5 linked regions of the Macaca mulatta genome follow. The protein of the gene in region 3 interacts with the protein of the main gene of each other region in a pairwise test. Links are inferred from orthologs where the notes say so. Each region holds a gene or a part of one and is shown on either strand. Other genes may lie near its edges. The genes, in order: C19H19orf44, METTL17, CBY2, PLEKHN1 and DZIP1L.

Region 1 (3,512 bases), on a different chromosome or scaffold from region 3:
GCCAACGTGGACCCTGTCTCTACTAATAAGTACAAAAATTAGCTGGTCACAGTGGCGCGCGCCTGTAGTCTCAGCTACTCGGGAGGCCGAGGCAGGAGAATTGCTTGAACCCGGGAAGTGGAAGTTGCAGTGAGCTGAGATCGCACCAGTGCACTCCAGCCTGGGCAACAGAGCAAGGCCCCATCTCAAAAAAAAAAAAAAAAAGAAAGAAAGAAAGAAAGAAAAGAGAGAGGAAACAAAAAACAAGGGTAAGGAGCCCTTTTGCCTTAAGTTCTACCTTTGCCTTAAGGTCTCATCTGTAAATCGGGAATAAAAGCGTTTGGCTGTGCCACAACTACCTTGAGAGGGTGCTATGGAGATGTAACATTAGGCTCAGTTTGGTCCTGATTCTACACTAACCTTTATCTTTCTCTTTATGACCATAAAACTTCCCCGACGAAAGTCTAAAATGCCCAAATCGGGAGTCATTGGTGGACTGCACCCATCGGTTTCTCCAATGCTCTGTGGGGAGGGGGAAATAACACCGGTTAGAGGTGATAATGGTTAATTTGGCCTAAGGGAAGGGTGAGGGGGACCCTCGAGGATTCGAGAGTTCGCTGCCGTCGACCTCGCGACGACTCTGCCCAGCCTTGGGGGGGCAGATGGGGGAGCTTACACCTCTGCCACTAAGGGCGTGGCCCCTTCACCTCCGTCTAGAAATTCCTCTTGGAAATAGACGGTAGCCAGCGCCACTCGCAGCATGCAGATGCCCCAGAGGGGCACCCGAACCCCGGCCATGGGGGTTTGCACTGCGCTTCCGGTCGCCACCGCCCCTTAGCTCCCGGCGCTCTCTGCGGCTCTTCAGGCGAGTCCTGAAACTACAACTCCCGTCACAACTCGCGATTATGACCTGAGGGTCCCATTGGTAGCTGCGGCGCTGGGCACGTCGGGTCCACCAGAGAACTACCGCTCCCATGATGCCTCGCGATTGTGATTCGGGACGCCATTGGTCTGCGGGACGCGGTGCTTGCCGGGAGATGTAGTCTCTTCTGCTCTGGCTCTGTTGCTCAGGGCAACCGGTCCCTCAGGCCTGAATGTGGCGGCTGCCTCTGCGAATGGACGGCGTGGGAGGAGGTCGGCAGCGCTGGTGGGGAGGTGACCTGGCTGGGCGTCCGGGCTCGCGAGGGGGATACGGGGAAATGGGGCCTTCTCCGTGGCTGAGCTGGTTGGGCAGCTGCAGGATGGTCCCGCGCCTCAGTCTCCCTGCCTGGAGTCTATTGGAGCGTGGTCCTGGGCGGGTCGCTTCATAGCTGGGGAGAAGAGCAGGATGGTCTGAGGGGCGCCAGGGTTTTCAAATTTTGGTTTGTTGGTTTTTAACGACTTTGTTGAGCCTTTATTTACATACCATAGTGTTCGCCACTTTTAAGCTGACGACTCCGTTATTTTTAGTAAATCTACAAAGCTGTGAAGTCGTCGCCATCATCCAGTTCATCCAGCTTTAGAACTTCGCGTCAGGCGGGGTGTGGTGGCTCACGCCTGGAATCCCAGCACTTTGGGAGGCAAAGGCGGGAGGATCACTTGAGGCCAGGAGATCCAGACCAGCCTGGGCAACATGGCGACACCCCATCTCTCAAAAAGATAAAAATAAAAAATTAGCCAGGTGTAGTGGCTCGCGTCTACAGTCCTAGCTACTCGGGATGTTGAGGCGGGAGCAGGATTGCTTGTGTCTGGAAGGTCAAAGCTGCTGTGAGCTGTGATCATGCCACTGCACTCTGGCTAATTTTTTGTATTTTTAGTAGAGATGGGGTTTCACCATGTTTGCTACATTGATCTTGAGCTCCTGACCTCACGTGATCTGCCAGCCTTGGCCTCCCAAAGTGCTGGGATTATAGGCGTGAGCCACAGCACCGGCCTGATCTGCTTTCTGAGTTTATTGGTTTGCATTTTCTTGACAGTTCTTACAGATGAAATGATAGGGTGTGTGGAGTTTAGTGTCTGGCTCCTTTTTTTAAATTTTTTTTTGAGGCAGAGTCGCGCTCTGTCACCCAGGCTGGAGTGCAATGGCGTGATCTCAGCTCACTGCAAACTCCTCCTCCCACGTTCAAGCAATTCTCCTGCCTCAGCGTCCTGAGTAGCTGGGATTACAGGCGCAGACCACCATGCCCCGCTAATTTTTGTATTTTTAGTAGAGACGGGGTTTCACCATGTGGGTCAGGCTGGTCTCGAACTCCTGACATCGTGATGCACCTGCCTCGGTCTCCCAAAGTGCTGGGATTACAGGCGTGAGTCACCGGGCCCGGCTTGGCTACTTTCCCTTCATATGATGTATTTGAGATTCCTGCATGCTATTATATTAGTATTTGTTTTTTAAATTGCTGAACAGTATTCCACTGTATGGATGGACCATAGTTTGTAATCCATTCACTAATTAATGGATAGTTACATTGTTTCAGCATGTTAGCCAGGATGGTCTCAATCTCCTGACCTCATGATCCACCCGCCTGGGCCTCCCAAAGTGCTGGGATTATAGGCGTGAGCCACAGCGCCCGGCCCAAACAGCAGGTACTCTTATGCAAAATTGTCTCCCCTTCCCCCACAGAATGGCTTCTGCAAGGAAAGCCAGCTGTCCCATACGCGATGTTTTTGGTGACTTCAGTGACACTTCCTTAGAAGATTCAACAATGGAAGAAATCAGAAACTTCCAGATCAGTAGAAATCTTACCAAAATAGCACCTGGTCATAGCAGATTTCTAAAAAGAAACCAAACTCTAGGTGAGAAACACTTACTCCTAAAAGAGAACCCTGTACTGGGGAGTGGACCCAGCCTTGCCTCAAGTAGACCGCCCACCACTGACTCCAGGATCCGAGCCAATGCCGCACTAAGGAAGCTGGCCCAGCTGGAAACCCGGATCATGAATCGGAAGCTGCAGAGGAATTTGTCTGACACAGAATCTGACTCAACGACCACCAATGCCAGTCTTCCAAAGAGAGCTGACAGAATCCTCTCCGGGGGTGCAATCGAACTTGCGTCCCAGAACACAGACAAAACTTCCCAGAATCAAACCTGTGAACTTCCTGTCACCGAAAATAATGCACAGAACCCAAAGGTTAGTAGGTTTCTAAAGAAGAAACAACCATCTGTTGAAAACATATCCCCTGAAGCACCTGTTGGGAAAGAGAGGACTTTGCAAACCCCCAAACAGAAAGAACCTGCTAGAACATTTGATTCTCCAGACAGTGACGAAGAAGAAATGAAAGTATTGCTAGGAAGCTTGATGGACTCTTCTAGAGAAAAAAAGACGAGTCAAGGCTTCAGCAGTGTTAACGTCAGTGAGGAAGAAGAAAGAAAACTATTTTCGGTAAGTTTTTTTTTTTTGGTAAATTTATTTTTATTTATTTAATTTAATTTAAATTTTTTTTTTTTTTTTTTGAGACGGAGTTTTGCTCTTGTTGCCCAGGCTGGAGTGCAATGGCGCAACCTCTGCTCACCACAACCTCCGCCTCCCGGATTCAAGCGATTCTCCTGCCTCAGC
Region 2 (4,072 bases), on a different chromosome or scaffold from region 3:
AACTGGCTCAAACAATCCTCCTGCCTCAGCCTCCCAAACAGCTGTGACTGCAGGCAGGAGCCCACCATGCCCAGCGGAGATCCTCTTTAAAAAAAAATGCATATGCAATGTCCCAAGAATCCCCATCCTAGAAAACTACTTTATGAATAGGGAACTGATGGTCAAAAAGTTCAGGTTGGAAGTTAAGGGACTTTCACCTCATGGAATGCTCTGGAGACTGCTGCAAAGCCACCATCCAGTCTTGCTGCCATATACACCAGGCTCAGTCCCTCAGTGTAGCTGCCATTAAAATCAGAGAGTCATACATACTAGTAAATAACCTTAATCCCATAGTTACCTTCTAGATTTAGAAAATGACATCTTGGAAAAGGCTCTTCCAGCTCAGGCCTTTCACTCCCCAATACAAAAGGGTCCTGGGGAACCTTACAAACACTAAATTTTCAAACTTCAGGGTTCGAAACTTCGAACTTTAACTTTTTCAAATACTAAATTGATCCTTTTAAGGTCAGGTGATGTAAAAAAAAATACTAAATTGATTGTGTAATTGTACTCCCCCAACTCTCTCTGCCTTTTCTTTCTTGTGCACCTCTTCTAGGCCCCCTTACCTCAGCTCCTGCCAATGGTAGGTAGTTTTACGTAGTGCATGTAGCACTGCTCCACGAAGTTTCTCCTCTGTCTGACATAAGTCTGTGGTGAGAACAAGGACTGGAAGTCAGGACCTAGGGAGAACAGGGCTCAGATCCAATATCAGAATATACTGCCCACCCAGTCCTCCCTGACTCCACCTAAGAAAGTCTTAAAGCTCAAGAGAGACAACAAACCTAGAGAAAAGTTTCAGGCAAGAATTAACAGTAACTACTACCACTAACAGATTGTTTCAAATAGCATTTTGCTTCTAAGAATGATTTATTCAGCTTAATCAATCCTGTTCCACAGGTTTGTTTTGCATTAAAGGAAAGTGTGATAAAAATTTAAAGGGTAAGCTGGGCGTGGTGGCTCACACCTGTAAACCCAGCACTTTGGGAGGCTGAGGCAGGTGGATCACAAGGTCAGGAGTTCAAGAACAGAACAGCCTGACCAACATGGTGAAACCCTCTCTCTACTAAAAATACAAAAATTAGCCAGGCGTGGTGGCGTGCACCTGTAGTCCCAGCTATTTAGGAAGCTGAAGCAGGAGAATCACTTGAAACCAGGAGGCAGAGGTTGTGTTGAGCTGAGATCGTGCCACTGCACTATATAGCCTGGGCAACAGAGCAAGACTGTCTCAAAAAAAAAAAAAAAAAAAATTAAAGGGCACTATTTTTTGGATTTCTTCACTTCTCCAAAATTTAAGGTTTTGATGATCTCCACTTTTCCTATGGAGAGGAAAGAAATTTGAAAATCTAGGTCTCATGACTGTTCAGTTCAGTACTATTGAGCAAGTATCTACTGATCACCTACTATGAGCCAGGTACTGTAAGGTGTGCAGGGAATGCAAGATGAATAAATGGTAATGTTAAGGAGCTCACAATCATGAAACTAACTTGATGAATTATATTTATCCTCTTATCCCAGAAGAGGATTTCAGTACTGGGTAGAGGTCATCCAGGGACTTTATTTTACCTGAATAAAAACTTAGAAGGTCCTAATCCAGTGGACGTGCAGGAAAAAAACAAGTATCTAGATTTTAACAGTGTATTGGTGGCCAGGCACGTTGGTTCACGCCTGTAATCCCAGCACTTTGGGAGGCCGAGGTGGGTGGATCACCTGAGGTCAGGAGTTCAAGACTAGCCTGGCCACCATGACGATACCCTGTCTCTACTAAAAATACAAAAGTTAGCCGGGTGTGGTGGTGCACGCCTGTAATCCCAGCTAGTGAAGAGGCTGAGGCAGGAGAATCACTTAAACCCGGGAGGTGGGGGTTGCAGTGAGCCGAGATCGAGCCATTGCACTTCAGCCTGGGCGACAGAGCAAGACTCTGTCTCAAAGCAAAAACAAAAAACAAAACAAACAAAAAACAGTATACTGGGACATTCTAACCTTTACCTAAGCAATCTCTAGAATAATCTACCTTCTTTTAATAAGGCATCATTGTTACAACTGCTGCTCTGGTTAGAAAGTCAAATAAGAGACTTCAGTACCTGTTCGAGAGACTGCAAAATTATTTCTTACTCTTCATTTCTAACCGACATTTCAATCTGGCCTACTTTTTAATTATTAAGTCCTACCTGGGTTTTCCAGAAATTTCTTCTCAAAATGCCTAGCCCGTCTTTGCAACTCCTCTGGCTCCACAGGCAAATGTCTGCTCCAGAGATAACTGGTCAGTGTTTGCACCTGATTCTCCATAGTGGGCCCAGCATTCTCTATGGGCCAAAGATGAAAAGCGGAATCACTTGCATGCAGGTCCAGTCCCGTTTCTTCTCCCTTTCCAGCCGTTACTCACCAAGTAGCAGTAACTGGGCACCGTTAGCCAGTGCCTGTGGCAGCCGCACGTGCGGTAGGTTTAGGATGCCAGGGTGCTGGCGATGAGGCCTCTTCTGCAGGAAATCGGACTTGTTATCTATCTGTGTCACTCCAGGTACTACTGCGGCGAGCGACTGCAGGCAGAGAAAGAAAGGTTGATTTTCTGGCAGAAAGGAAAGTTGCTGGCGCTCGCTAGGGCGGGGGCTGCCAGAAGCGCTCCTCCTCCGCGCGGAGATGTCTCTGCAGATCCAGAGTCTCTCCGTGAGCCGGCAATGTAGGTACTCACCCGGGCCTGGGGAGCTACTCCAAGGCCGGGGCACCATCTTCCTAATATCAGTAGAGACTTCAGTGCCCCCGCCATGGCTCCGGAGGCGAACCGGAAACGGAAATGTAGGTTCCTGTGACCCTCAGTCACAACGCCGCAAGGAGCCGCCTTCGCAGAACGTCCCCCGACAGTTTCAGCCAACCAGAAGAGCGAGTGTTTGCCAGCAGCCAATAAGCAATGGTTATATAAATATCCTTGAGGCGGAAACCGTGTTTGGGCTGGAGGCTGCGTCGGGCTTGGTCACCGGCGCCAGAAATCAAGAGGGTGGGGCGGGACGGGGGCGGGATGGAGTTGGGTGTGAGCGCGCCATTGACTGGCAGAGACTGTTTCTGGGAATACTGACTTCCTGTGTTCTTTGCATTCCTCCGCGGAGAACTCTGAGTCTTGGGTTGTTTCCCTGTGTGAAAAAGGGAGACTGCAGTAACGGAAGGAAGAGAAGAGAAAAATCATATTTAAGAGACTTTAGACAACAGAAATTAATAGTTAAATAATTATTGAATAGTTAATAGTTTGATAAAAAACCTAGTTAATCGGTTTATTTTATTTTATTTTTTTACATTTGTTAATTTCTCTTCAAATGAGACCAGTCTTCTTAGTAAGCTAACATAACACTTACTGAGAACACCTACGTGCTAGGTACTTCAGGGAAAAGGACTGAAACTCGCTTCACAGAAAACTTGGTTCTGACGGGGACCCTTCTGAGTCTGCTGCTAGATCACACTGTTTCCCCCAGGCCTAGGACTTCTACAGATGCTGTCGTGACTACCTGAGGTGCAGAATCTCAGGTGGGTTCAGCCACTCTTGTGACGTGATAATGTAGCACAGGGTAATGTCTCCAGAGTCTGCAGGCCATCAACTCCTTCATTCACCAGAGCATCAGAAGGATAAATGGCATATGCAAGGCCATATCTACTTTCGGAATCTGACAGTGCACAACTGCTACCTCAGTCTCCAAACACTTGAGCTCACCCAGTGTGTGATTTCTGTGGGTTCCTGCCCCCCTAATTTCTGTTACAGGTTTAGGATGTTCTCCCAGCATATCCACTTGACTTGTGTGTGGAACCAGCCAGTTCATCTGGAGGGCTAGACTCCTGGGTCATCAGGCCCTACCACAGGTGGTCCAGGGATCTCAGGTCCCAGCACCCTAATTGGACTGCCCTTCTGTGGTCCTCTCCCTTATTCGACTTCTTCCTCAAATCTGCAGCCCTCACCGACCGCAGCCTGCCAGCTCTCTCAGGGCTCCTCATCTCGGGGTGAGGCGGGGTGAGAAGACATGGGTGGACAAGGGGAGAAGGGCTGCTCTGC
Region 3 (3,998 bases):
TCCCTCCACTTGCGAGATCTAGAAAAACCTGGCGGAAATTGGTTGGAACCAAAATGGCTGACTGGAGCTTGCACACAATAAGCTTGCTGATGTCGTAGGCTGAATTTCCACCACATGTTTTGTACTAATTCCCCCTGAATTTGCACATGCAACTCAGGAGTTAACATGAAGAAATAACTGTGCATGCCCAAGGACTTTCCAGACCTCCCTTTTCCTTGTACCAATCACCTGCTAATCTCAGAATCCACCCCCTGAACCTTTTCTAATAAAAATACTGCTTTAATGCCAGCACAGAGAGACAAATTTGAGCTTGACTCCTGCCTCCTTCAGAGGTGACTTTTAATATAAAGCTTTTCTTTTTTTCAAAAACTTGGTGTCAGTATTGGCTTCTAGCATATTGGGCAGTGAGCCCCTTTTGCTTGATAACAAACTAGAACCCCAGGTGAGACGAACAGCCTGTTCAAGGTACTGTTGCCCCTAGTGGTGTGCAGGCCCCCTGCACTGATCCTGAGTAGCCACCTAGACCAGTGCGTTCAGAGGCTCAACTATAGGGTTCCTGCTTCTCTACCATGGCACTTCAGGTTCCCTTGGCACTTTTCCTTTGGGAAAAGAAATTGCTTCTGGATTAGACATCTTTCTGGTGAGTACCTTGTTAATACATACCTGTACTTTTAATTGTCTTTGAACTCATCATAAGGACTGTGGGTTCAGGTCCCACCCTGTGGTTTAGGATTATGGATGAGAGTCCCACCCTTGTCTAGGACTGTGGGTTTGAGTCCTACCCAAGGGGGATTCTGGTCAGGTTAGAGTCCCAAATCTGGTGTATGTTCAAGTCACAAAGAATTAAGGCAATAGTAAAAAGCTGCAGCCACTGAGATAATCTAGTCTGGTTCTGATTTTTGTTGATCTGTCTGTATTTTTGGTCTGTGTATCAATGTTTGGCTTAACAAAGGTTAAAGACTGTGATGGCTCCAGCAGAAGCCTTATGAGAGCTCCAGAGTAGTTTATCCGCACACTCAATTAGAACAAAGCAACTCCATAAACTAGAAAACCTGAAGAAAAATGGCACATGGAAAAAATGTCAGTCAAACCCTCTTTCTTCTTCTGCCCCTAAAGAGTTGTCATGTAGTCTTCTAAGTTATTTGCCTGTCTTTTCTTCTTGACTACTTTGAATCTGCTGACTTTTTTACTAGTGTTGAGATAAAACTTACTGTTCATGGTATTACTAGTTTAAGGTTACTGGCTAAAGAAAAAAAAAATGAAAGAGGTCTTTTAAAATCAAAGTGCCATGGAAACTGCTTTGCTCATCAGGGCAAATAAAGTTGAGCTATGTGAACAGGTTCTAATTTTATCAGGAAAATAAGTTTGATCCAACTGTCTCGTTTACGCATATACATGCATTATGTTATGTGTTGTTTCTATATGGTATCAAATGAGCTTATAAATAAAAGAGTACTGATACATTAAATAAATAAGCCCAAAAGCTTTTCAAGTTCATGTGACTTTAATAATCTTTGGAAAATAAAACCAATTTAAAATTATTGATAAAATAAAAATAGATATGTCTTCAGAATTGTCAGCATGTGATTTTGCCTGTGTTTACTGGTCAGCTGACATGTGCATCTGCTAGTTATTTTAAGATGTCCAGGTTTGGCACAAAAGTCACGAAATTATAAACCTAGCCAAAACAGAATAATCTTTGTTTACGTGATTCTTTTGATAAATAAGACTAATATTGTTGGTTTAATGACAACAATGAAATCCTCTGATTTATCAGCAAAATATCCATGTATTTCACTTCAAAGTTCTTACTTAGGTGAACACCTGATATTCACAAGCTGTGAAATGGTTAACAAGGAAAAAACTTAAAATGATGACCAGCTTTGTCTAATATCTCTGTTCTCATAACTAATCTAGATAAACTGTTAAAAACAAATAAATTAGATAAACGTAATAAATGAAATTCTTATGTTTTTGAAAATCTTGAAGTTATCATACTTACTGAGCAGCTGGGTCACTTCCAATTAAGAAAATGTATAAGGAAATGTTTCTAAAGGTTAAAAAATGGTTTTAAAATACATAAATTATAATATTTTATCTATAAAATACTGATATATGACAGACAATTCAAGAGTTCTTACCTCCTAGGTTCTTCCCTAAAATAAGGATTACTAAGAGTTAATATTGTGACTTATATATGTAATTGAAACTACTAGATACAAGAGAAACAATTCTATATGCAAAATGTATAAGAAAAATAGGATGTGTTTTTGGTAAACACATAAGAAGACAGGAATATGGTTTTCATTTAAGGGCAAGTAATTTTGCCTAGTTTAGAGGTTCTAAAGGATTGTTTTAAATTGAAGGAATAAAAAAATTATAGATAAAACTAAATAAATATAGAAAGTTAAAGAATGAAAATATAACAAATTGGAAGAGGTTATAAAAGGTTTACGGAAATCTTATCTTGCAGTCAAAACTAACTGAGATTGAATAGATTTGTTTATAAGGTCTTATTAAAATTAGCTGTAATATTAAAAATGCACTAACACAAAACTAAAAATTTTGGTTAAAGCCACAAAATTTTTTGAAGTATTGATTTGCTCTCAATGATATTGCAAGAAATATTGACTTTAAATTCTAAAATTAAAATGTCAGATTTATATCTCAGAAGTTCAACTTTTCCTGTACCTTGTTACATATAAGTTGCAGATCACATTCATTATCTTCTGTTTTTTTCCCCTTGAAAAAAACATATCTTTTTGCTTGGCTGGTCTGATAACTCTTCTTCAACTTTTTCATGAACTCCTACAATTTTTTACCCCAGCCCTAATGCTGTTCTTATGGCATAATGCTAACATATTTATCTTAAAGTTTAGAAAAGCAATGTTTTCCTCAAATGTAATATAATCTTATACTCTTGGCTTTATGATATGTCTGAATTATTTTGTATAACCAGGAAACCGCCCATGTAACTTTCTGTTACTTACTTTTGAGGTCCTTTGACTGTCATGCTAGTTAAATGAATAACTATTATTTTAAAATGACCTGTAGTTCGTTTTGATCAAATGTTCTGAATCTTTTAACATCTTTGGTAGGATTTATCTGGTAAAGTTGTATGGGAGACATTATCAAATGCTAAATAATACTGGATCTTCTTTTGGTTATGTTTATGGGTGCGCTATTGATATAAATGTACTAAAAATTACATACGTTTATAAAAGTCTCACATGCTATGAGTCGTAATTTTGATATGTTAAATCTTTTTAAAAGTTATATTTGTGTAGATACATTATTAGTAGAAATATTCTTAAGATTATATTATTATAAAAATCAGATGGTCCTGATGTGATGCTGTCAGTCATGGTTCTGGTTGTTATCTTAAAATGCTACATATAATAGAAATAACTACATTTTCCTGACAATTGACAACTTTTATCAGGTTTTAGCCATGGCTAAGTTTTTGTAATCCACAGTTATTGTTTTGAATTCTTCTCTAAAAAGCTTTCCAATCAGCTACAACCCAAATTACTTTTCATGCAAAGGACTCTGATCAGTACTCTTAAACACAGATTTCTGATAACTTTGGAGATAATGCCATCAGACTAGGAAAAGTCTTCCAGGGCTCTGATTAAAAAGTTGCATGAGAATTGCTAACCCAACATCAAACAGAACAAGAATTAGCTACATGGGACTGAACTGATAGAGGAATAAAAAGATCTTTTATGACATTTTTATTTGAAACATTGATGATCTCTTATGTTTTGTTTTCCTGAGTCAAGAAAACATTTTCCTTTTGAACCGTTTTTAACTTACAACACATTAGATAAAATATACCTTTGTGAACAAAACTTTGAGGCATTTACCTTTCTCTCTGCTCTCTCCAGAACTTGGAAGCTGTTTGTGAGTATTCTCAGTTTATGGCAATATATTATTTGCATTAGTTTTCAATAAAAAACTATTTTCTTTGGTAATAGAACACAATTGGAGACACTGGT
Region 4 (4,171 bases), on a different chromosome or scaffold from region 3:
CATACACACTTGTGCACACACTCATGTGCGTGCATACACACACACACACAGACACACTTCCCCACACAGAGCTGCCTGGTCTAGTGGTAGAGATGGTGAGATTTGAACTCAGTGGATTAAATCCTATCTTCATTATTTCCTAAGCTGTGTAACATGTCTTTGGTTATTCAACCTCTGAAGACTTGTTAGAAGAATTTGGGGGTGTCTGGGTAACACTCAAAACCCTCCCACGTCTCCAGTATTGGCTGGTAAACGTTTAACACCTGGTTCTACAAAAAACAGACACAGAAACACACCAATGCCCTGATTTGTAACGTTTGTCAATTTCCTCAGTGTCAATGTTCTCAGCGCCGCCCATTTCCAGCCCCCAGCCTGAAAGATGTGAGGAGATTTCCGGGGTCGATCCCCTGAGTGTGTGCTGGCCACTTGCTTAGGTGACAGCCGGGTCCTGGCAGTGCCCCGAGGGGTCAGACCCCCGCTCTCCGGCCACTGCATGTGCTCTTCCCGCTTTGGGGACCGCTCAGTCCCCACCCCCTTCCTTACCCGCTTTGCAGCTTTGCTCAGACATCACCTGCTCCAAGAGGTCCTTTTCTGAAAGCCCCTCTAAAATTCCAGCCTTCCCTGATCCTCTGCACCCATCCCCGCTGTTTTTCTCCTTAGCACCAACCCCACCCTTCTCACTGGATCTTCTATTTATTTGCCCCATCGTCTGGGAGTGGGAGCACCGTGAGAACAGGGGTTGTCTATTCCGTTCAGTTCTGTGTCCCCAGAGCCTAAGGCAGGGCCTGGGATGTGCTGTGGGTATCACTGCATGTGCTGAGAGGGGAGAGGAATCCACATCCATGCCACACTTAGCCAATCCTGGCACAGTCCTCTACAAATGCAGGCTTTGATCACCAGGCTAGAGATCAGAAAGGGGACGGGTGTGAACCTGGGGCTGGAGAGCTCTGTGATCCACAGGCTCAGGGGCAAGTGGGAAGGTGTCCTGTTCCCTCTAGGAGCTGGCAAGGGCTACCAGCAGTGCTGCTGTGTCCTGGCCAAGCTTAGCTGCCCCTGAGCAGGCCCAGGAATGTGAACAGACAGACGCATAGGCTTTCCCGGCCTCCCGCCTCTGGGTGGGGCCTCCTGTACCCACACCCAGCGTGGGAACTGATGCCGGGTAGGCACCTATGAAAAATAGGCCACAGACCAGGAAGGGCCACACAGCTAGCCCTGCAGCCCAGCTCAGCCTCGGGGCCCCAGGGAGGACTCAGCCTGGAGCCGGCAGAGCCAGCTCACAGCACTGGGTGCAGAGCCCAGGCACAGGGCAGAGGAGCACTGGCTCCAGGACTGGCCCCGAGCTCCTCCCCCAGCCCCATTTCCTGAGGCTCAGCGGGTTCCCTCTCTGGCTACCATGTCCTGGCAAGGGAGGACCACTAGGGCCACCCACCACACCTCATAGGGCCCTACCAGGGTCCCACTGCATGTCCTGGGCCTGGACAGAGAGAGTAGCGTCTGAGATGCAGCCAAAGGGACCCCACCCCTAGGCCAGCCTGGCCCCCTCTGCCTGCCCACTCCTCTGAGGCAGTGTGGTTTCCAAAACCAGCACCTGTTGTCTGCAGGGAACCCTGAAACTCTGCAGGTCAGGAGAGGGTATGGCACGAGCCTCCTGCCTGGCGGGGGCATGTTGGCAACGGGGTCTGCACGGCCACGCCAGCTGCTGGACCTAGGAGTGCAGGGCAGGGGTCCTCTCCCCCAGACGCTCCTAGGGCCTGCACATAGCATCCAGCCTGCCTGACAGGGGTGCCGTGGGGGTTCCTCCTCCTGTTCCCTCAACCCAGCACCAGGCACATCTGAAAGGGGCTGGGCATCTACCCTGTGAAGACCCTTAGTCCTACGGGGGCCTGGGCGGGGGGATGGGCATGGGGGTTCTTCTGCTCCTTCCACGACGGAGAGGTGGCCTAGTGTGTGCTCGGGAGATGCCTCCTTGCTGCGTGGCCTTGGCAGGCTGGGAGGAGGCCCTGCGTGCACAGAGGGGTTGCTGTGGACAGGGCGGCGGTACCCAGCAGCAGCTTCCTGCGGGACACCCCGTCAGAAACAGGCCGCGGGTAGGTGGCCGGCTGGCTCACTGCGCACCTGAAGCCCCTTACTGTCAAGTGACACGACCAGCACGACCCCAGCCCCACTGCAGCGACAGAGACGCGTGCGCCGGTCCCCTGCGGGAGGAGGTCCCGGGAGGCCCCGCCCGCGGCCCGCCCCGCCCAGCTCGCTCCCGACTGACTCAGTCCTGCGTCGCGGTTTCGCTCTCCGCTCAGACTTTCGGCCCGATGAGCTCCCCAGGGCGGGGCAGTCAGCATCCGCTCCTCACCTAAGGGGGTCTGAATCCCCCCGGGCCGAGGGGAAGACCCTGAACTGCAAGGACACGCGGCACACACGCGCGGGCAGAGCCACGCTCCCAGACCCCAGCCACCGCGTGCGCCGCGCTCACCGTGCCCGGGATGTAGTGGAAGAGCTTGTTGGCGGCGGCGTCCCCGCTTCCAGCAGCCTCGGGGCCCAGCAGGCCAGCCGGCATCCGTGCGCCGTCCTCTCTGGGGACAAGGCAAGGGAGCTCGTGGCCCCGGAGCGGGTGGGGGAGCCCCGTGCCCAGGTGGCCACACCCACACCCCGCTCACCTGTTTCCCTTCAATGAGGGCTTTCTGGAGAAGGAGGCCCGGAGCCTCCTGGGGGCCTGAGGGACACAGTGGCTGTTCCCCATGGCCAGAGTCGTGCAGGTCGGCAAGTCTGGGTCCCTGTCCACAGCCTCCTGCCCCCGCCTCCCACAGGCAGGCGGGGCTCTGGGACGTCCCGCCCGTCACCCAGGGCTGGGCGGGGGTGGAGCCATTCTGGAAGAGGCCTCGCCCCTACCTGAGCCATCCAGGTCTCTGCCCTGGGCCCTCCACACCGAGGGGCCAGCCTTGGGGCGATCTCCCCTCTGGCCCAGACAAGGCCTCCAGTGTGCAAGGGGCACCCCACTTGCCTGTGCTCAGGCTTTGTGAAATCGGGGCCACCTTCCAGCACCCCCCCAACAATGTGCACACACATCCTGTTTCCATCTAAACCCTGGCCGGCCTGAGTCACCGGTGACTGCAGGGAGGGCTGAGGCAGGAATTCCAGCGTAGGAGACAGTGCCCAGAGCCACCCCAGCCTCCCCTCCTGCCTGGGCTCCCTCACCAGACCCATCAGGGTCCTCAAGGCTTAAGGGGACTCTGGAAGGCCACGTGCCACCTAGGCGGCCAGGACAGTCAGCATACGCAGGGGCAGTGCTGTCCTCCCCCGCCGCACCCCCAGAGCCCAAGACGTGGCGGGGACCTCAGCCTCAGGACCCAGCTCAGGCAAACCCCACCTACAGTGGGAGAGACTCCATGGCCCCCACCCTCCCTGGATGCACAGCTCTGCCTTGTAGCCCCCAGACACCGGTGCAGCATCTCAGGCCACCCGCCCACGCCCCTCACCCTGGACCCCCAGATAGGACCCAAAGTTGCGCAGCTGCCCCACAAGCCAGAGAGATGCTCAGCCTGGGAAGCCCCAGAAATGTGTTTATTGTTCAAGTTGGGATTGTATTGCTGTGTGGGGCCCGAGTGCACACGTGTGCACCCACTACAAGATCCAGGGAAGACGGCACAAAGCAGACGATGACAGGAAGGACACCTGCTCCCCACCCTTCCCGGGACCCCGCCGTGTACAAAATTCGAGCTGGGGTCTGCAGCTGCTTGGAAAGCCCCAGGGCCTCTGGCTCCGCGGCCTGCAGGGTCTGAGCAGGCAATGGCCCTGGGGCAGCGAGGCCCCGACCTGGTCACTCCCGGCTGCCCGCCATGCAGGCAGTGGAGGGGAGGACGGGCGGCCGCAGCACTGCTCACCCCTCAATAAATAAGATAAATAACTAAATAAATAAACAACTAAATATAGACACGAAGGAATGGACGCAGAGACGTGAACAGAAGATGCAAGATGTCCCTGGTGGGGGCCACGGCCCCCTTAAGGCATGTGGGAGGCTGCAGGCCTCTGGGGGTGGGGGGGTCAGAGGCTGGTGGAGGACACGGACAGCGTGGGCGAGGACGGCGGCGGGAAGTTGAGCAGCTCCAGCACCGCCACACCCACACTGCTACGCCGTGTGAACATGCAGGACGCGGCCACCCACTTGTTGGTCCTCGGG
Region 5 (3,512 bases), on a different chromosome or scaffold from region 3:
CCTGGCACACCAAGGTGATGTATGAACCTCAGGAATGACCAAGAAGCAGGAAGCTAACTACAGTCTTCTACGATTCAAACGAAATCAAGGTCTGAGCTGACTTTTGGAGCTACAACAGCCCTTGGCTCACTGATTCATTCAAGAAATGTTTGTTAAGGGCCTATGATGTAGCAGGCACTGTTTCCTCACCCTCTCATTAATCACCTTGTCCAAATACCTCATTTTACAACAAAGGAGCAGAAACCACCTGCACAAGGACAAGCAGGTAGCAAGTGGCAGAGCCAGGACTTTCTCTGAAGATTCCTAACTCCCAGTCCCAAGACCTTGCCACCCTATTGCCCTCGCCTGGCAGGGCATCAATACTTCTCCAGAGATCTGTTTCTGGCGAATTCTGATGGACTGGCAGGCTTGGCTTATGCTGTAAACATGGCCAAGTGCTGCAGAGTCTATTAGGAGCAAGAACTTTGCAGACTGCAAGCCTAGCCTGACATCCCAGAGTTTCTACTTACTGACCTTGGCAAGACAAAACTCTAAATTCCACATTCTTTATTCTTTAACTCAGTCTTGGCTAGAAAATACAACTGAAGCCAGAAGCTGCAGGCCTCAGTTGGCAGTTTGATAGGAAAATCTTGAAAGAATGGGAGTAGACAGTTGTTTTGAAAAGAAGGATGCTCAACTAGTCATTGCAACCTGTTAGACAGAAAATAATACATTGAAGGAATATTTTCATTCCAGTTACCATGACAGTTAGCTCAGGTCTCTACAATACCCTTTCCATCAACACGTTGAATTTCTAAGTCTCTTGGCTGAAAAGGGCAAAGAGCTTCCCCGTATGATGAAACAGGCTGCGTGGCCCAAAGGCAGCCTGCTATAAAGGTTGACTGACTGTCTGTGGCTGCCTCCTCTGTCTCAAGCTTTGCTGGGAAGCCACACTTTTCACAATTGAGTTGTTGCAAAAAGTTATGCTTGTTACAGTCTATGTGTTATAGAAAACTATATTTGTCAAAATGTTCATGGTAGCAAACTGTTTTCCCTTCAAGTTGTAACTGAGGTTTGCCCTGGAGGCTACTTTGACCACTGTGGTATTTAACTCTAGGACCATCAACTCTTGATCGGTGCTAACGAACTCAAACAGCATAAAAGACTATGGGGATATTCTTAACATTTGGAACACAGCTAAAGGCAGCTCTTTCTGTTAGTTTACAATTAAATAAATAAACGTGACTCTAACACATTAACTTCAAAAACATCATACAGAATCTCAACTTGCCATGACATCGTTCTGCGGTCTTGGGCCAGTCATAATGTCTATGAGGCTTAGTTTCAACTTCTGTCACGACGTGTGTGGCTCAGCCTTCCCTCATCAGTGCTGTGAGGAGTAAACGAGGAGACTCGTGCGAAGAGATCCACACAGAGCTGAGCACTCGGTGAGCACCCAGAAACACCAACACAGAGGGGAGAGCCTTCTCTCACGCCTCGAGCTTGCGCAGAAGGAGGGAACTTCTGCTCTCCTCACCAGGATGGACAAGGATAGGAGAAACACCCTCCCAGTTTCTTCCCCACATCCTACCCTCTCCTCACAGAAGAAGCCAAGCAGAGGGGTGGGCCTGCAACACACCCTGGGCCACGGCGCACCTGAAGGAGGGCTGCTGATCCAGAAAACAGTGCCAGCTCTTTCTCTCGGAGCCTCCCCGCCCCTATGGCTGGGTTTGAGCCGGGCTGGAGTGCACCCTACAGCTGCCTGTTTAAGGTCTTACACATTCAGGGTCTGCTTTGCAAACCCAGCCCTGCGCACAAGTAAGATCAGGATCTGGATTCGGGGAGACTGGAGGGGCCCCCACTTTGGCCTCAAGTGCTGGTTGTTCCTCTAATCCAGCCCTAACAGAAAGCCAATGCCTCAGGCATTCCTGGGCCCTGTCACCACTATTAGAGCGAGGCTTTGATCACCCGTGGCTGGCCACTGTGTTTATTCTCTACTGGAAAGAACATGGAGGAGAAAAGAGATGAGTGGCTCCCTTTGACCTCCCACAGTCAACAATTTGATGACAAAACAAGGGGTAAAATAAACCTTGCTCAAACTCTAGCTTTCTCCTGATATCTCTGCTATCCCAGAAAAAAAAAAAAATTTGAGGCGAAGGAGGACCATTCTCTCGAAGCCAAATAGAGAAAGAGATGTCAAATCAGAAAGCCTAAAGGAAGCTGAAGGGTGTTTCTGGAGCCTCGAGAAATCTGGGCTGGAGAAGGGTTTCACCCGTGGTCCCAGCCCACTCACCCGAAGGTGCCAGCTCACCTGAGCCCTGGCCAGGGGGCTGGGCATTCTCTGAGGTCTCTGTGTCAGACCAGTCCCAGTCATCCTCGGGCCGAGGCACCATCCTGGAAGGAACTTTCGGAGGCTGTAGAGACACACGCTGCACACGGTCTCCCTCTGAGTCCTCTTCAGAACTGAACGGGGGCGTGCTGCCATGAGGAGGAGAAGAAATGAGGGATGCATGGGCCAGAAAGAAAACTTTGAAAGCCAAACTTCATCATGCTGCAAGCTGGCTTGGTGGGCTCAGGGCAGCCCTGCTCCCTCCCTCAGGCCCAGAAGATATCTAGGAGACCCGTGGAGTGCAGCAGCCACACCAGCTTCTCCCTTAGTAGAGCCCTGCCTGTCTGAGGATCCGCCCCTCCGGAGTGGGAACGGGCTTGGGGGAGGAGATGGGTAAGGGGAGGGTGGGTTTGTCTTGGCTAGGAGCACAGGTTCTCAAGTCCAGAGCCCAGACTGGACCCTACCTGAGGCACCTTCTGTTCACATGTATCTGCCCCCCACCTATCTGCAGAAGCCCGGAGGGAGCCCAGAACAGGGCTGCCTGAAGCCAGGAGCCGCCACTGCAGGTGGGGTGAGAGGGCAGAGTCTGGGGCTCACCTCATCCCAGGCCCCAAGGAAGGAGGGGTGCTGGAGGGTCCATGCACTCTGGGGCGTGGAGCCGGGGTGGACACTTGGGTCAGGCCGGAGCCATGGCTGCCATGGCTCTGACGAGTTGGTGGGGGCGGCTCTGCCGGCGTGGATGGCAAGGCCCCCTGCAGGGTCCTGGTCTTTGGCTGGGCCTCTCTGGTGACCAGTGTGCTCTGCTGGCTTTTGACTGGAAACAGAAAGGAATGACTTTTGGAGGACACCCATGCTGGGTCTCAAGCCTAAGAGGAGGGAGAAAGCGGCTCCAACACCCTGGAAATGGACAATCACTCCCTCTCTGTGCTGTAATAACCACAGCAGATTGCACAATTGCTGCCAAATCAGGTGTTCTGCTGCTGGCCAGATTCAAGGCTGGGACCATAGTTCCACAGTTTCCTCAGAGACCAGGAGAGCAGCTGGGTGCTCCAGAGTCATGCTGTCATTATAGACCAGCAGGAGTCCGCGGGCCTGAAGAGGAACTCAGCAGTCCTAGATGGACTTCACCAAGACCGCTACCCTCTCCCCAACCCACACTACAGCTGCGGCAGTGCAGGCAGCCCTGCAGGAAGACCACGCTGCC

What was found.
Region 1: the proteins of CBY2 (region 3) and C19H19orf44 interact in binary tests that used the Homo sapiens proteins (3 or more experiments, as listed by UniProt). The two-hybrid records come from large-scale screens. The link is inferred for Macaca mulatta from reciprocal best matches to the Homo sapiens genes CBY2 and C19orf44.
Region 2: the proteins of CBY2 (region 3) and METTL17 interact in binary tests that used the Homo sapiens proteins (3 or more experiments, as listed by UniProt). The link is inferred for Macaca mulatta from reciprocal best matches to the Homo sapiens genes CBY2 and METTL17.
Region 4: the proteins of CBY2 (region 3) and PLEKHN1 interact in binary tests that used the Homo sapiens proteins (3 or more experiments, as listed by UniProt). The two-hybrid records come from large-scale screens. The link is inferred for Macaca mulatta from reciprocal best matches to the Homo sapiens genes CBY2 and PLEKHN1.
Region 5: the proteins of CBY2 (region 3) and DZIP1L interact in binary tests that used the Homo sapiens proteins (3 or more experiments, as listed by UniProt). The two-hybrid records come from large-scale screens. The link is inferred for Macaca mulatta from reciprocal best matches to the Homo sapiens genes CBY2 and DZIP1L.

What each region holds. Positions count from the first base shown.
Region 1 is NC_133424.1:16,992,792-16,996,303, forward strand, and holds part of C19H19orf44 (uncharacterized protein C19orf44 homolog), read left to right. Parts: intron 1-393; coding exon of another isoform or gene 394-501; intron 502-686; coding exon of another isoform or gene 687-777; exon of another isoform or gene 778-852; intron 853-1,041; exon of another isoform or gene 1,042-1,134; intron 1,135-1,740; exon of another isoform or gene 1,741-1,889; intron 1,890-1,971; 5' UTR 1,972-2,549; coding exon 2,550-3,338; intron 3,339-3,512. Other genes in the region: CALR3 (calreticulin-3), read right to left, coding at 400-501, 687-777.
Region 2 is NC_133412.1:93,838,665-93,842,736, reverse strand, and holds the start of METTL17 (ribosome assembly protein METTL17, mitochondrial), read right to left. Parts: upstream 2,804-4,072; coding exon 2,729-2,803; intron 2,577-2,728; coding exon 2,423-2,576; intron 2,343-2,422; coding exon 2,208-2,342; intron 688-2,207; coding exon 606-687; intron 280-605; coding exon 198-279; intron 1-197. UniProt on the Homo sapiens protein: Mitochondrial ribosome (mitoribosome) assembly factor. Binds at the interface of the head and body domains of the mitochondrial small ribosomal subunit (mt-SSU), occluding the mRNA channel and preventing compaction of the head domain towards the body.
Region 3 is NC_133422.1:24,970,226-24,974,223, reverse strand, and holds the start of CBY2 (protein chibby homolog 2), read right to left. Parts: upstream 2,803-3,998; coding exon 2,692-2,802; intron 1-2,691.
Region 4 is NC_133406.1:239,720,829-239,724,999, forward strand, and holds the start of PLEKHN1 (pleckstrin homology domain-containing family N member 1), read right to left. Parts: upstream 2,813-4,171; 5' UTR 2,735-2,812; coding exon 2,652-2,734; intron 2,568-2,651; coding exon 2,468-2,567; intron 1-2,467. Other genes in the region: KLHL17 (kelch-like protein 17), read right to left, coding at 4,036-4,171. UniProt on the Homo sapiens protein: Controls the stability of the leptin mRNA harboring an AU-rich element (ARE) in its 3' UTR, in cooperation with the RNA stabilizer ELAVL1.
Region 5 is NC_133407.1:41,060,833-41,064,344, forward strand, and holds part of DZIP1L (cilium assembly protein DZIP1L), read right to left. Parts: intron 3,123-3,512; coding exon 2,906-3,122; intron 2,458-2,905; coding exon 2,291-2,457; intron 1,370-2,290; coding exon of another isoform or gene 1,350-1,369; exon of another isoform or gene 1,234-1,349; intron 1-1,233. UniProt on the Homo sapiens protein: Involved in primary cilium formation. Probably acts as a transition zone protein required for localization of PKD1/PC1 and PKD2/PC2 to the ciliary membrane.